2 linked regions of the Pelodiscus sinensis genome follow. The protein of the gene in region 1 interacts with the protein of each later gene in a biochemical or structural test. Links are inferred from orthologs where the notes say so. Each region holds a gene or a part of one and is shown in the gene's direction. Other genes may lie near its edges.

What was found.
Region 2: the proteins of ANXA1 (region 1) and protein S100-A11-like form a complex in vitro, tested with the Homo sapiens proteins (2 studies listed by BioGRID). The link is inferred for Pelodiscus sinensis from reciprocal best matches to the Homo sapiens genes ANXA1 and S100A11.

What each region holds. Positions count from the first base shown.
Region 1 is NC_134716.1:34,503,146-34,510,109, forward strand, and holds the start of ANXA1 (annexin A1), read left to right. Parts: upstream 1-3,950; 5' UTR 3,951-4,089; intron 4,090-4,158; exon of another isoform or gene 4,159-4,390; intron 4,391-6,964. UniProt on the Homo sapiens protein: Plays important roles in the innate immune response as effector of glucocorticoid-mediated responses and regulator of the inflammatory process. Has anti-inflammatory activity.
Region 2 is NC_134734.1:25,012,745-25,020,366, forward strand, and holds the start of protein S100-A11-like, read left to right. Parts: upstream 1-4,611; 5' UTR 4,612-4,746; coding exon 4,747-4,749; intron 4,750-7,327; coding exon 7,328-7,483; intron 7,484-7,622. UniProt on the Homo sapiens protein: Facilitates the differentiation and the cornification of keratinocytes.

The sequences.
Region 1 (6,964 bases):
GCCTATCACCTTTTGTTTCTATGTACCGAAAGTACTGAAATCAAAACAGTTGTCATTTTCTGGGTTTCTCCCTCTGTAGCTGTTTGGAGTTATGCTTCCCCTACTCCCCCCCTACTCCTGGTGGGTGGAGTTCTCTGACTCATGGTCTTCCTGAAATTGGAGTAGTGAGTCACTAGCACAGAGCTGTACTGTACAGTACAATCAATACAGCCATGAAAAAAATGCAGTCATTTGACTTAGATTACTTGATGATTTTATCCTCACTCTTTTCTAGAATGAAGATATTGTTACATGTTCAAAGGCTCATTTTCTAGGATTGTTTGATAAGTAGCAATATACAGCATGAGGCATTACTGTCATAGTACAAGTTATAGAGGAAAAACACAAATGTTTTCCCTCTCTTGTAATCGTTATCCTTCTAGAATACACACACTACAATCACTGATGACAATGTCATATACAAAATACATAACATACAAAATTACTACACACATTGGCATTTAAGCTGGTGCTAAGTGATTATGATACTGTGGATTCAATTCCCCTTCCCCCTCCCTCAGATATGGGACTCCTGGAAGCAGAGCTATAGGGGAAGAGTGAAATTTCCTCAAGCCTTTGTGCCTCCAGAGTGCAGATGAAAGCAGAATGGTTCACAAAAGCTCAAGAGTGTTCAGCAGCAGACTTCTTTTATTTCTGCTTCAGAAATGAGCTGTTCTGTTCCCTGTAGTGTATGCTGCTGCTGCTGAAAGTTGGTGTATATACTGGGAAGAGATTCACTGACATCTCCACCTATGGGTCCTGCCATAAAGGATTAGCAGAATTTACTTCTAAGGATGGGCCATTTTTGTATTCTGATACCAACGAGTAGCTACTGGTACAATGTTTGTTTGAGCTCTTTTGGGGAGAGACTCTACTGCAGCTATCCTAAGGGGGTCTCCAATCATGACTGAGACTGCTGGGTCCTACTGCCATTTACATTTACTCCAATTCATCTGATGAAGTGGGCTTTACCCATGAAAGCTCGTGTTTCTATACGTTTTTGTTAGTCTCTAAAGGGGGCATCTAAACAAGCACAGTTATTACAAAATAACTGACACTTTCAAAATAACAGTGCAAGCGTCTACACAGCAATTCCGTTATTTTGAAATAACAGATGGCTTATTCCGATTTCTGTAAACCCCATTTCATGAGGAATAATGCCTATTTTGAGAGAGCTATTTTGGAATAGCTGTAGTGTGGATGCTCCACTGCTGCTATTTTGAAATAGCTCCTTCCCAGAGACATTCAAAGTAATTACTTCCTACTGCCTCCTGAGGGTTTAAATCAAGGTAGTAAGTCCACATTAGGGAAGCCTGCCTTGGATTAATTTTGAGGTTTCCCTGTAGTGTAGACGCGCTATTTTGAAATGAGCTATTTTGGAGTATTTCCAAAATAGCTGATGTATCCTAAGGTACTACTCATTGTTTTTAGAGTTTTGTCTATAGTTATAATACTGACATAAATAGCTCAGGATATTGGAAGCCTCAGAGATAGTGGCAAAAAATTTCCAAGTGGAAATGTGTCTGCCTCCATTGCTGTAATAAGTAGAGGGTGTCTCATAAGCTGCATGATAACTTGAGAGACCCATGCTGAAACCAGAGAGTTGGGATTCCATCTCATTTTTGTACCTCGAGTGACCCATAGTGTGTGTGATTCCTCTATGGGTGATCACAGTTTCTTTCCTTCTTTTGAGACTGAAAAACACTTTTTCACTAGTTCTGAAATCTTGCTCTCCTGGCTTTACAGTAACATGATGAAATAGGGGAGTGGAAAAACTGACTGAACCAGTCAGTGAATTTTAGGTTAGGAAAGATGTTTGCTACAAAACACTCATGCTGCTTTGTGTCTTGAGACATTTAAAAATATGAAGAACAGAACTTCGGAAAGTCAAAATGGGTTAGTCATTCACTGGCAAAAGAAAGATCTATCGTATTTTCAATGACTATGAATCTTAGATGCCTTTGCCCTACATCACAGTATAAACTTTTGTTTTAGCAGATTTATCCCTGTTGACTTATTCAGAATAATCTTTGTTCCATTCCTTCACCAACCCTATTCTGATCTTTCTTGCTTCCTCTAGTACCAAAGCAAATGATGCCTCAATAGATCTCATTCTAGGGATGTCAACCTGTAGTTGACTACACCATTAATTGATAAGCTTGGGCTTAAAGCATTCTCTTCCCTCCCCTTGTTTCCTCTGTATAGAGGCAGCAGAGTGGAGTGGTAGGGGGCTCCCCGGGAATGAGGCTGGGAGTGCACTGGCTGTCGGCCCCATGACTGGGGACTACTGAATAATTGTGTAACTGCTAAAGTTTTGATGTGGTTACACAATTATTCAACTAATTGATATCTAACATCCCTATCTCAGTCAGAAGAAAACTGCCCTTCATTCTCACCAACAGCCTGTATTCTTACATCTCATATGCACAAGGTATTATGGGTGCAGATCCCAGATTGAAATGAGAACACAACCTCATTTTATTAATTGTTTATTAACTTTTCTCCTCTGATGTTTAATGCCTCCAATTTGGATGGAAGGCAGAAAGAAAGAAGAGGGCTCATCTGCACTTTCCATATTAGCTTTTCTAGCTGGCTTTAAATGTAAATTTAATTGCAGCATGTCTCAGATACCTGACCTGTTTGCCTCATTTGAGATGTGAGGCATATCTTCTGATATGCAAATTGTAGATTTGATTGCATGTCACACTTCATCATATATGTCTTTAAGGAACATTTCAAACTGAATCACACTGTATGTATTCTTGCATTGCACAAAGTATATGTCTTAGGTCTTTCTTGAGTGACTTGCTATTATATAATATTTTGCTAGCACCTTATAAAAACTTTGAATTTCTGGGCTTTCTTGGGAAAAAATCCCTTACTAAAGATGGACCCCAAAACAGAACACACATAAATCTGAAAGCTCGCAAACTGTAGCAAGTCTGTGAGAGGAATTTGAAGTAAAAATCCAAACTTGTATATGAACTTCAATAGCATTATATTTGTTTAATGTATTTGTATTGCAGTAGAGTGTCAGTACTGTACATCATGGACTAAGACTCCCTATGCAAGCATAGGAAAAAAAACCAGTTCCTGCCTCCAAAGTGCTTATAAGTAAACATAAAACAAGAGGGTACAGATAGACAGGGGGAGAATAACATGATGAGGTACTACTGGTCAGCAAAATAGGCAGTGGTTCCTCTGTCTGGAATCAAATCTCTCACCATTTGAATTGCAAATCTCAGTTCTAGGGGAATTCCAGATTTAACAATTGCAGAATTCCTTCAGGACTGAAAGCTAAATCTGAATGTTGCAGGGCAGGCCCACTTGTATATTTAAGTGGCACATCTATTAAACCTGCCTATTTTCACATCTTGGTTCTCTGCAATGATCATGGCCCGTCTCCTTTTCTTTGCCCAATCTTGTGTGAGATGAAAAAAAAAAATTATCCATGGGTATTGGCCGATTTCTGCTCCAAGATCAACCCCAGTGAGAGCAAGGTCATTGACCACCAATTTGCACTGAAGACATAGGGTGTTCTTTTCTGGTCTCGGCCTCCCTGCAGCACTAAAGTGCTGCTGCTTTCTGTCTTGATTTTTTTTTAAATGTACAATGAGATGAGTCAAAAAATGAAAGGGCTAAGATTTTATTCAGCATTGAGCTTTATTTATCTCACACTGCTTTAAAATGTATTCACTTGAACAAACCTATGCCAATTTACATCAGCAGAGGATGTAAGTCCAGATAGGTTTAAAAAAAAGTCCGAAAACATTTCTTTCTTTCTTTCACACTGAAATCTGCCCTTAGTTAACTCCAGTGAATAATTTTGCAAGGCATTTGTGTGTGTGTGTGTGTGTGCCTGTGCTTTTGGATAGAACCCACATTTAGTCCTCAGGCAAATATGAGCCAATCACTTGAGTTGTAGAAATATTCTGTGGTTGCTAGGTGTGGTCACCCAACGGCTTTATAAAAATCACCAGCCTTAGGCTTTCCTGTTCCAGGCTGCAGCTTCCAGAGAAGTAACACTTTCTGAGCTGTGTGAAACAAAAGGTATGCACTTTTTTGTTCTTTGTGGGTCTCTGTTGATTTAGCAAACTTTAATAAATATGCACTACTTACCAAGTGATTTTGTGCAGCTGTCTGTTGATTGTGTTGATTGGCACAGGCAGAGATGGGTGTGGTCATCTCTTCCTTTTTAAATTATTGCATTTACATTCTGGGGTTGGAACTGTCCCTGTTCTTCTTTGCTTGAAGTGCACAAGAAATCTTGAGGAAATACTAAGGATTGGAGAGCTAATTTACTTGGAATTAGCTAGTTTCTGTTTTTTAATGGCTGCTCTGGAAAGCTATTTTTACAGCAAAACTATGAGTAACAGGAAACTAACATACCTTATATGGAAATGATTTGTGAAAGCTGCTTTTACTTTGACAATAATTGCTTAAAAACAGTATTCATTGCTTCACAGACTTCAGCTGTAAATGTAAGCCAGGGAAAAAAACTCCCAGTATTTTTAATGAGGTGGCTCTGAAAAAAATCCGTTTTTTAATTAAACACTGATGTAAGAGAAACTGCGTATGAGTAAGGGCTCCAGAATTTGGTTCTCGGTCAGCTCAGACTTTCCATTAATTTTTTACCCAAGGGTGAGGCTGTTTCTCTCAGTGCTGCCATTCTTTGTGTGTCCCTGAGGACAGGTTTTTCAAGTTTTTTTTTTTTTTGTATCCATCCAAGTGAAGAAATATTTCCTGGGTGTTAGCAAGAATGTACAAGAGGCATAGACAGAAGGCCCATCTAAAAACCTCTGGTGTCTACACTATGAAAACGTTTTGCTAATGGGGTTTAACAGTGTTATTAGACTTTCTTTCAAGGCCCTCTTAATGTGTCCACACCATCCCTCATACTAGCATTTCCTGGTGAGGCAAACCCCAATATGAAATGTGGTATGCAAAGGTTTGGCTTGATTCCAATTTCAGAATGGCATACATCACGATTAATCCCACTAAAGTCAATGGAGTTTAAAAAATAATGTAAGATCAAGTTAAATTTCTTGCTTTCCTTTCAAAGACAAAAATATAAAAGTATATATCTGCTGTTTAATATTACTAGTTTTGAATAGTGGGATACATTCTACCCATACTTCCGATACTCAGCCAACTAACTTTTCAAGGATTTATTAGAAGCAGGAAGAACTGTCTCTCTTCTGCTATGGTATTTGCAGCTAGGCCACTTTTTCTCCCTTGGTCATTTCTATATACAGTAGTGCCCAAGCCTGAGCTTTGGAGTGGAGGGAAGTTTAGGTGCCACCTTTTAGTAATCCTGGCAGGAGCCCAGCCAGCTTTCCTATTTCTCTTCATAGCAAATTGAAATCCTCTTTCTGCTTTTCCTCTCTTACCCACCTCTCCTAATACTAAACTTTGCTTCTCACTCTCAAGGGCACCCTCCTAGACCCCGGAGGTATCTTCCTGCACTCCTACAGTCTTTTATTATCTGTGATAGTAAACTATCATGTTGCTCCAGTCAACATACTTTGTTTAAACTTGGCTGATAAGAAATTTCATCAGGTAGGATTACTTATTTCTTAACTCTCTGAATCAACAGAACAAACCAAAGAGCAATCAGAGTAAGATATTTAACCCAGCCAGAGTGTTGTTTACCTTGTAGAATTGTCTTTAAAAACTCCAATAATAGGTTATTCGAATAAAATGGATGGATTTGTTTGCCAAAATGTCTGTGTGGAAAAGGGAAATGAGAAACAAGACTTTTCCTTGCACCAAGAGCTGCTTAACAAAGGAGGGAGGGACCATAAAGAATGACTTACAGCTACCTGAAACTCATGACGTGTCAACTCAGTCTGAATGTAAATTAGAGCAGCCTAGGAGTTTACAGAGCACAGCTATGCTCTACTTGGCTCCTCTTCACCTGCATCATAACCTCAAAACCTGTGTAGGTGTGTATATGATTGTTGTGAAGAGGGGAGTGGTTAGCATAGCTGCCATCACCCCCAACATTATGTTCACTACAGTATGAGATTCCAGGCCCTACGTGCCTCTCAAGAAGCAGTGTGTCAGGAAATTGGAAGGAGGATTCAGCTCAAAAACTTCTAACTGTAGTTAATGTTGTTTTTTAACTTGCTCGTGCAACTCAAGAGTGGTACTGCAAAAGTGGGTTTAAGTTACCTTTGCACTTTCTTGAACATGGGCTTGCAATGCAGAGGGCAGTCATCTGAGAAGCTGAGACAGCATCTGGGACCCACCAGCTACAACCCTTTACTACCCACACCCCCATATTTGAGCAGCAAGGATGGGGGGTGGCATAAGAGCCATGGCAGCCTCTCTATTTATTAGTGGTATTAGTCCTTAATATCAACATTACGATTGCTCTATTGCTTCTCAACTAGGGTGAGGGTTGCATAAATTTAAAAATCTTCAGGTAGAACTGAGGCCTGGGACCAATGTCTTTCAACCACACAGGGTCTTTATGGCTGAAAACTAAGTTTCCTTTGAGAGTATCCAATCAGGTATTTGGACATTGAAATAGGCCTATGTTTTTTTCACTGAACCAAAAGTGTGTGTGTGTGTGTGTGTGTGTGTGTGTGTGTGTGTGTGTGTGTTGCTTTCACCAACTGTAGAGTAGCCTTTTGCTTGTTCCATCACCCAAGACTCCTAGGCTACCTCTAGACTGGCATGATTTTCCGCAAATGCTTTTAACGGAAAAGTTTTTCCGTTAAAAGCATTTGCGTAAAAGAACGTCTAGATTGGCACGGACGCTTTTCCGCAAAAGCACTTTTGGTGGAAAAGCATCCTTGCCAATCTAGACGCGGTTTTGCACACGAAAGCCCCGATTGCCATTTTCACCATCGGGGCTTTTTTGCGCAAAACAGCTTTTAGCTGTCTACACTGGCCCTCTTGCGCACAAACATTTCTGGAA
Region 2 (7,622 bases), on another chromosome or scaffold:
TGATCCCTGAGGAACTCCGCTAGTAACCTTCCTCCAACCTGACAGTTCACCTTTCAGTATGACCCGCTGTGGTCTCCCCTTTAACCAGTTGCTTATCCACCTCTCAACTTTCATATTAATCCCTATCTTTTCCAATTTAACCAATAATTCCCCATGTGGTTCTGTATCAAATGCCTTACTAAAGTCAAGGTAGATCAGATCCACCGCATTTCCTTTATCTAAAAAATCTGTTACTTTCTCAAAAAAGGAGATCAGGTTGGTTTGGCACAATCTACCTTTTGTAAAACCATGTTGTAATTTGTCCCAATCGCCATTAGCCTCCATGTCTCTAACTACTTTCTCCTTCAAAATTTTTTCCAAGATCTTGCATACTGCAGATGTCAAACTAACAGGCCTATAGTTACCCGGGTCGCTTTTTTTCCCTTTCTTAAAAATCGGAACTATATTAGCAATTCTCCAGTCAAATGGTACAACCCCTGAGTCTAGAGATTTATTAAAAAAATTTGCTAATGGACTTGCAATTTCATGTGCCAGTTCCTTTAATATTCTTGGATGAAGATTATCTGGGCCCCCTGATTTACTCTCATTAAGCTGTTCAAGTTTGGCTTTTACCTCAGATATGGTAATATCTACCTCCTTATCCTCAGTCCCATTTGTTAACTTACCATTATCCCTAAGCTCTTCATTAGCCTCATTAAAGACTGAAGCAAAGTATTTGTTTAGCTATTGGGCCATTCCTAGATTATCCTTAACCTCCACTCCAGCCTTAGTAATTAATGGTCCTACTTCTTTTTTTGTTTTTTTCCTATTTATATGGCTATAAAACCTTTTGCTATTGGTTTTAATTCCCTTTGCAAGGTCCCCCCCCCCCGTCCCTTCCGCACAAGCGAGCCTGCAGAGGGAAGGCGGCTGAGCTCTCCGTGAGGCCGCGGGGCAGGCCTCCTGCTACTTCCCAGCACACGAGCCCAAGGCAGCGCCGCCCAGAGAGGGGTTTTTATGGACAAAGCCAAGAGACGTGATAAAGGCGCCACCCTGCCCGCCGCTCAATCGACACTTTCCCGTCTGCTCACAGAGCCGCACTGCGCGGTCCAGGCCTCCCCCTACCCCGTATCCCCCGCGGGCCTGGGACTTCTGCCTGTTCAATTCATCGGTCCCCCCGTCCCGGGCCTAAGAACCCAACGAAAACAGCCGGCAGGGTTCTCTCCAATGTACCTGTTTCCATGGGCTCCTCTGGCTCCCTGCCGACACCTCCACCTGCCTGAGATTAACTCTTTAGTCACCGCGTGGCTGGCGCCCCTACGCATCACTGAGTTCCGGGGCGTTACGGCCGAGGGAGCGGAGCGGCCACCGTGTGAGTCAAGAGCAGGAACATTCCCTGATCTCCCCCCCACCCGCCCGGCACGGTTTGATGCATCTCGGGGGGGAGGGGATCACTAGGATGCTGCGGAGCCGCCTCAGGCAGGTGACACTGGGAAGCAGCGGCTGGAGCCGTTCCTCCCCACAGCCACGGTGCGGTGTTGCAAACCCCCTTGTGCAAGTGACACAGGAAACCCATTTCAAGTGACGCGGAGCCCGTTCCAGCTGCAACTCCCCTTAGGCAGAGAGCAGGCCCCTCCCAGGCCCAGCTCCGAGGGCCGTTCGTCACAGCTGGGCCTCGCGCTGGCTCTCTGCACGGGGCGGAATCCACACGCCGCGTGGAATCAACAGCGCCAGGCCCAGGAAAGCTGGCCTGGGCACAGGCTGCCTGCAAAGCAGGTACAACCCCCCAACCCCAAGTCAGAGCAATGAGAAGATGAAGCCCCCCGGCATGGGCACTGGGACAGCTCTGCCCCCCCCCCCCAGGTTCAAACCAACAGGAAATGCTTCTCCATGCAGCACACAGCCGACCTGTGGAACTCCCTGCTAGGGGACGCGGTGAAGGCTAAAAGTATAACAGCTCCAAACAGAGCTAGTTATTGGTGGCTGGGCCCATCAATAGCTCTTAGCCAAGATGGTCAGGGATGCAGCCCCTGCTCCGGGGGTCCCTGGCGTCTGATTGCCAGGGGATGGGTCACTTGATAATCACCGTTTGAAGCACCTGGCTTTGGCCACGGTCAGAGGTCAGGACACGGGGCCTCAGGGACTGTTATCTGACCCGGCTCAGCGGCACCTACCAGCAGCCCCGGGGTGCAGCAGCTCCGATACTGGATTACAGTCGGGTCAGCAGCGCTGTAATCCCAGATCTTCCACTGTCTGCCTGCGCGCCCTTCAGCCAAGTCACTTCCAGTGCGGCGCCTCGGTTTCCCCTCCCACCCTAAGGCTCTTTAGCCTGGGCGGCACTGCAGGGACCTGCTCTCAGGTGAGGCTTGGGGGCGCTTACCCCTCAGACCACGTCTTGCTGGCAGTTACCCCGTGCCACCCGCGCTGCACTTGAACAGCTGCTGTGAGGAACAGTCCCGCCTGTCCTGTGGATCCTCCCCAGTCCCCTGGGAAAAGCCACAAGCCTCCTCAAACACACTGCCGACTCCGCCCCCTCCCGAGACTCAGGTCAGCTGCGAAATGAGCTGGTGTGCGGGCAGCTCCTGTCTTCTGCAGCTCAGAAACCCGACTGCTCACCTGTGTGTCAGGGGCCTGACACTGCCCACAGCTGATGGGGAGTCTCCTGCTGCCAAAAGAGCAGAGGCCTGGGCTTCTGGGGCTGGATTCTAGCCCTGCTGATGCCCTGACGCCCCGAGGCTCCAACTCACCCCAGTATTTAGGGTCCCAACTCCCACTGTGATTCATAGACCCCTAGGACTGGAAGGGCCCTCGCGAGGTCGTCCAGTCCAGTCCCGGCCCTCTCGGCAGGACCCAGCACCGGCTACATCAGGGCAACTCAACTTCGGACGCTCACAGCACATGCCGAGGGCCGCAACTTACATGTGGTGGCATTTACATGCAAATATCTATGCAAATATATGCAAACAGCTTCTTTCACACTGACGGGCAGAATACAAAGCTGAAGGCAAGACTACACAACACGCAGGCCCCGTGTAAGGCAGCTCTGCTGACACTAACACACTGCCACATTGACCCCATTTCCACCCGCGTGACTGCACTCTGCATGGGCAATGGCAGGCCAGGAATTTAACTACTAAGGCTCATCTCGGCAGAAGCCCGTTCTATGGACTCACCGCTGTGCAGCGTGTTCCCAGTGGGCGCCGTGTTCAAAGGATCCCTCCCGCGGGCCACGTGTTGAGCCTGCGTGAACCCAAACCGCCCCGCGGCCGCAAACCAACGAGCCGCAGGCCACCCATGGCCGCGTGTTAAATAGCCTGGTCTAGGCCCTGGCAGGCATGTGTCCCGCCCGCTCTGAAGTATCTCCAACTGGGAGTCTTACCCGGCGTGCTCAGGTCCTTCAGGGCAGGGGGCTGGGGGGGGGGTGCAGGAGTCAGGGTTGGGGCTCAGGGCAGAGGGCTGGAGATGTGGGGAGGTGGAGTGGGAGGAGCAGTGGGTGAGGAGGGGCTCAGGGCATGAGGTGGGATGCAGGCGTTGGGGCAGATCAGGAGAAGGGGGACTTGGAGGGGGTAGAGACTTGGAGGGGGGCTAAGGGCGGGGGGGGGGGGGTTCCGGCTTCTCCTGGGGGCTGATCCAGTGCTTCCCGCCCACTGGCTTCTCCCCAGGCCATGCAGGCTGCTCGGTGGCAGGGAGGTGCATGGCCTGCGGCCAAGGGGGCCGTCCCAAGATCCTGGCCCACCCAAACCTCACCTTGCTATAGGTCCGGACACGAGGAAGCTGCCTCCCCGCTGTGGCAGCCCTGGCTGTGATCTTCGGGACGGGGCACTTCGAAACGATCCCGAAGACGAAGATGATGGAGATTCCAAACCCCCCTCCCCTCGGCAACTTACTCCAGGTTCCCCCCCCAGGCAGGACGCTTGCCCTGATGTCCAACCCGACTCCCCTGCGGCCGCCTCTGCCCAGTGCTGCTCGGCCAGTGCCACGGAGCCTCGTGTCCAGTACGCGGTTACTGGCCCTGGCCTGGCTCAGCCTTCGCGTGCCCTGGGCGTAGGAGCCGAGGGGCCAGCGTCTGCGGGCTGGTTACGGTGCCAGGTGGGGAAACAGAGGCACATTCCCGGGCAGCAGCTTAGCACCCCCCCCCCCCCCCCCGCCTCGGCCGGGGAAGCGGAACTTGGAGCAGAGACAAGAGGGGAAGGGGGGGGCAGGGGGGGAGAGAAGCTAAAAGAAAAGGAGGAAAAGAAACGGGGGGGGCGCAGCCAATGTGGGGCTTGGGGGGGGGTCCCAGCCAGCGCGGGGCGCTCTCAGCCGGTGGGGGTTTTGGGGGGGTCCCAGCCAGCGCGGGGCTCGGGGGGGGTCCCAGCCAACGCGGGGCTCGAGGGGGGGTCCCAGCCAGCGCGGGGCTCGGGGGGGGTCCCAGCCAACGCGGGGCTGTGGGGGAGGGGTCCCAGCCAACGCGGGGCTGTGGGGGAGGGGTCCCAGCCAACGCGGGGCGCTGGGGGGGGGGTCCCAGCCAACACGGGGCTCTGGGGGGGTCCCAGCCAGCGCGGGGCTCTGGGGGGGGGTCCCAGCCAGCGCGGGGCGCTGGGGGGGGGGCAGCCGGGGGCACATTCCTGGGTGGGGCTCGCAGGCCGGCGAGTCCGGATCCGCTCCGAGCCTCCGCCCAGCCGGGGAAGGGGCCGGGCCAGGCAGCCAAGGGCGGTGGCGGGGCCGGGCGGGGCTCAGAGCGCCCCGAAGTCTGAGCCGCGCACGGTCCGCTCCCTCCCTGCAGCCATGGTGAGTGGGGGGGGCCCTCCCCCCTTTCCCGGGGGGCGATAAACTCTCCCTGGGAAGGGCGGGGGGAGGCAGGAGCCCCCCCCCCCGGAGCTTGGCTTGGCAGTTGCCCAGGAGCTGTCGGGGGGGGGGGGGGGGGGGGGCTGAGAGCTGCCGACCCAAACTGCAAACCCCGGGTACGATGGAAACCGCCTCAAACCAGGGTGCAGCCCCCCCCCCCCCCCGGTACCAGCACCCCAGGGCGGGGCCGGTCACAGGCTGCAGCAGGGCCCCAGGCTGCTCGGGGCAGGAGTTGTTGGTCCCTGGCCAGGCTGTGACCCCCCCCCCCCAGCGCAGGGTGTGTCCGCTCCCCCCCCCCCACCACCGCCAGCGCAGGGTGTGTCCGCTCCCCCCCCCAGCCCCAGCAGGGCGGCTCCGCTCCCCCCCCCCCCCAGCCCCAGCGCAGGGTGGTTTCCCAGGGGCCAGACCCCACCCTCCATTCAGGACTCAGCCCCCCCCCCCCCCCGTCCTGGGCAGAGGCGCCCCCCACCCCAGGAGGCCCCAGCTGCGGGTTTGCACCCTGGGCTGCCAGGCACTGAGGGGCGGGGGAGCTGGGCCAGGCTGGGGGGGGGGGGCTGGTTTCCTGTCTCATACCACCAAAAAAGGCTAAATTCAGCTGCTGGGGGGGGGGGGGGGCTAAAGAGTCCCGGGGGGGGCAGAGACTCCAGGCCAGAGAGGGGCAGAGCCCCCCCCCCCCTTCCTCCCACAGCTCAGTCACTGCTCAGAGCTTGCCTGGCACTGAGTCATTCAGGCCCAGCTGCCCTTTGGCGCGTCCCCCCATCACTCCGCCCTGGCTCGGGGGAAGGAGGCTGGAGGGGGCTCTCCCCCCTGCTCACAAGCAGAGCCCCGGGTGGGGGCCTGGGCGCTGCTCTGCCTTCCCGCCTCCTTGGACGTGTGCCAGCCAGCCCTGCTCCGGGGGGCCTAGCCAGGACCTCGAGGGGTGCACGTTGCCCAGGCCGGTCAAGCCTGGTCTCCCTTTCCCCTGCCCCAGTCCTGTGTACCCACCGCTGCCACCATCACCAGAGTCTGACTGGAACTGGTGGCTTAGAGGGAAGAGCCTCTGGCTGCTATTTTCTGGTGCCCTGAGCTAGCTAGGCCCCCTGCCCTGGGGCTGGATTGGCACCCCCTGCCGGTGAACCCCCTCTATCCCATTCCCCATGCGCTCCTCAGCCGCCCGGCCCAGCACCCCCTCCAGAGGCAAGGCCCCGTATCCCAGTAGAACCAGCATCTCGTAGAGGAAAAGCTACGTAGGCCATTCGCTGCTCCCCAGAACCAGGCGGCCTTTCTCCGCCCTGGGCCGAGGGAGGAAGCGGTGCCCCCCGGGGAAAGGCCTCACCCCCTTGGGGCCAGCAGGCCTGCATTTCACCCTGTGGCTGTCCTGACACAGCTAGCCCCTGGCCACGTGGCTTGGAGCAGCCCCACCCCAGTCCCATTTCTCTTCACTCCGAATTTCTCCCAACAAATGGGGGGTGGGGGGGAGAGGAGGGTGTTTTTCTTTCCCGCCCCTGCCTGTGATTGGCAGCCAAAACCAATTCATATTAATGAGGAGGGTGGAAAAGCCAGGCACCTTTGTTCCGGAGTCTCTTTCACAACCTCAGTGCAGACGCACCCCCTGCCCTGCCAGGCCCCATGGCCCGTTGCTGAGCCTCTGCCACCCTCGCGTCACCTCTCCTTGCCCTGGCCTCTTTCCGCCACTGCGCTCACTGGGCTGGCAGCTGCGGCTTCGCTGTGGTCTGGCTCGCAGCGCCCGGGGGGGGGGGGGGGCAGGAAGAGCGTGGGAGCGGGTGCAGAGGAGGGATTGCACCAGGCCTGGGGAAACCAGAAAGCTGCATGGGGCTGGCGTAGGAGCGCCTGAGCAACGGCACCTTGCGGTCAGGCCCCGCCCGCCGGGCCCAGGAATAGACTCGTCCAGCAGCCGCTCCCGTCTCCCTGCTCCACCCAGCTCCCCTGCCGAAGCTCAGGAAAGCAGCCAGGAGTCTGGACCCCCCGGGGCCTGCTGCAACCACTAGGCCCTGCGTCCAGAAGCGGGATCAGAGCCCAGGCAGCCTGGTGCTGTCCCTGACTTATCCGGCAGCCTGGTGCTGTCCCTGACTTACCCGGCAGCCTCTCCCTTCCTTTCAGTGCTCAGGTGAAAGGCTCAGCTGGAGCTGGGAGCAGTGTTCCCTGTAAGCTGGGCGCTTGGGCAGCCACCGGGAGGGCTGATTGGCAGAGCACCCCCCGCAGGCAGCATGGGTTTCCCCGGCTGGTGCGCGTGCCTCAGTGCATGTAACAAAACGTACTGGGCCCATGGATGGAAAACAGGCGACACCGGCCAGGCGGGCTCAGGGGAGCTGGTGACCCCCGGGTTTGGCGCTGGGGGAGGAGCGGGCTCAGGGGAGCTGGTGGCCCCCGGGTTTGGCGCTGGGGGAGGAGCGGGCTCAGGGGAGCTGGTGGCCCCCGGGTTTGGCGCTGGGGGAGGAGCGGGCTCAGGGGAGCTGGTGGCCCCCGGGTTTGGCGCTGGGGGAGGAGCGGGCTCAGCCGCACGGTGCTTCCACCCCTGCAGGCGAAGGTCCCCATGTCCCCGACGGAAACGGAGCGCTGTATCGAGTCCCTGCTGGCCGTGTTCCAGCGCTACGCCGGGCGCGAAGGCGACAGCTGCACGCTGTCCAAGCGGGAGTTCCTCACCTTCATGAACGCCGAACTGGCTTCCTTCACAAAGGTGAGCCTGGGGACGCCCAGCCCGCGGGGGGACTGCAGCTTCTGCCAACACGGCTGCTCTGCTGAGTAGCTGGCTGGGAGCGGGGCAGGGAGCAGAGGGAGTGCGGGGGGGGGGGGGGGTGAAGTGCTTTCGGAGGTCC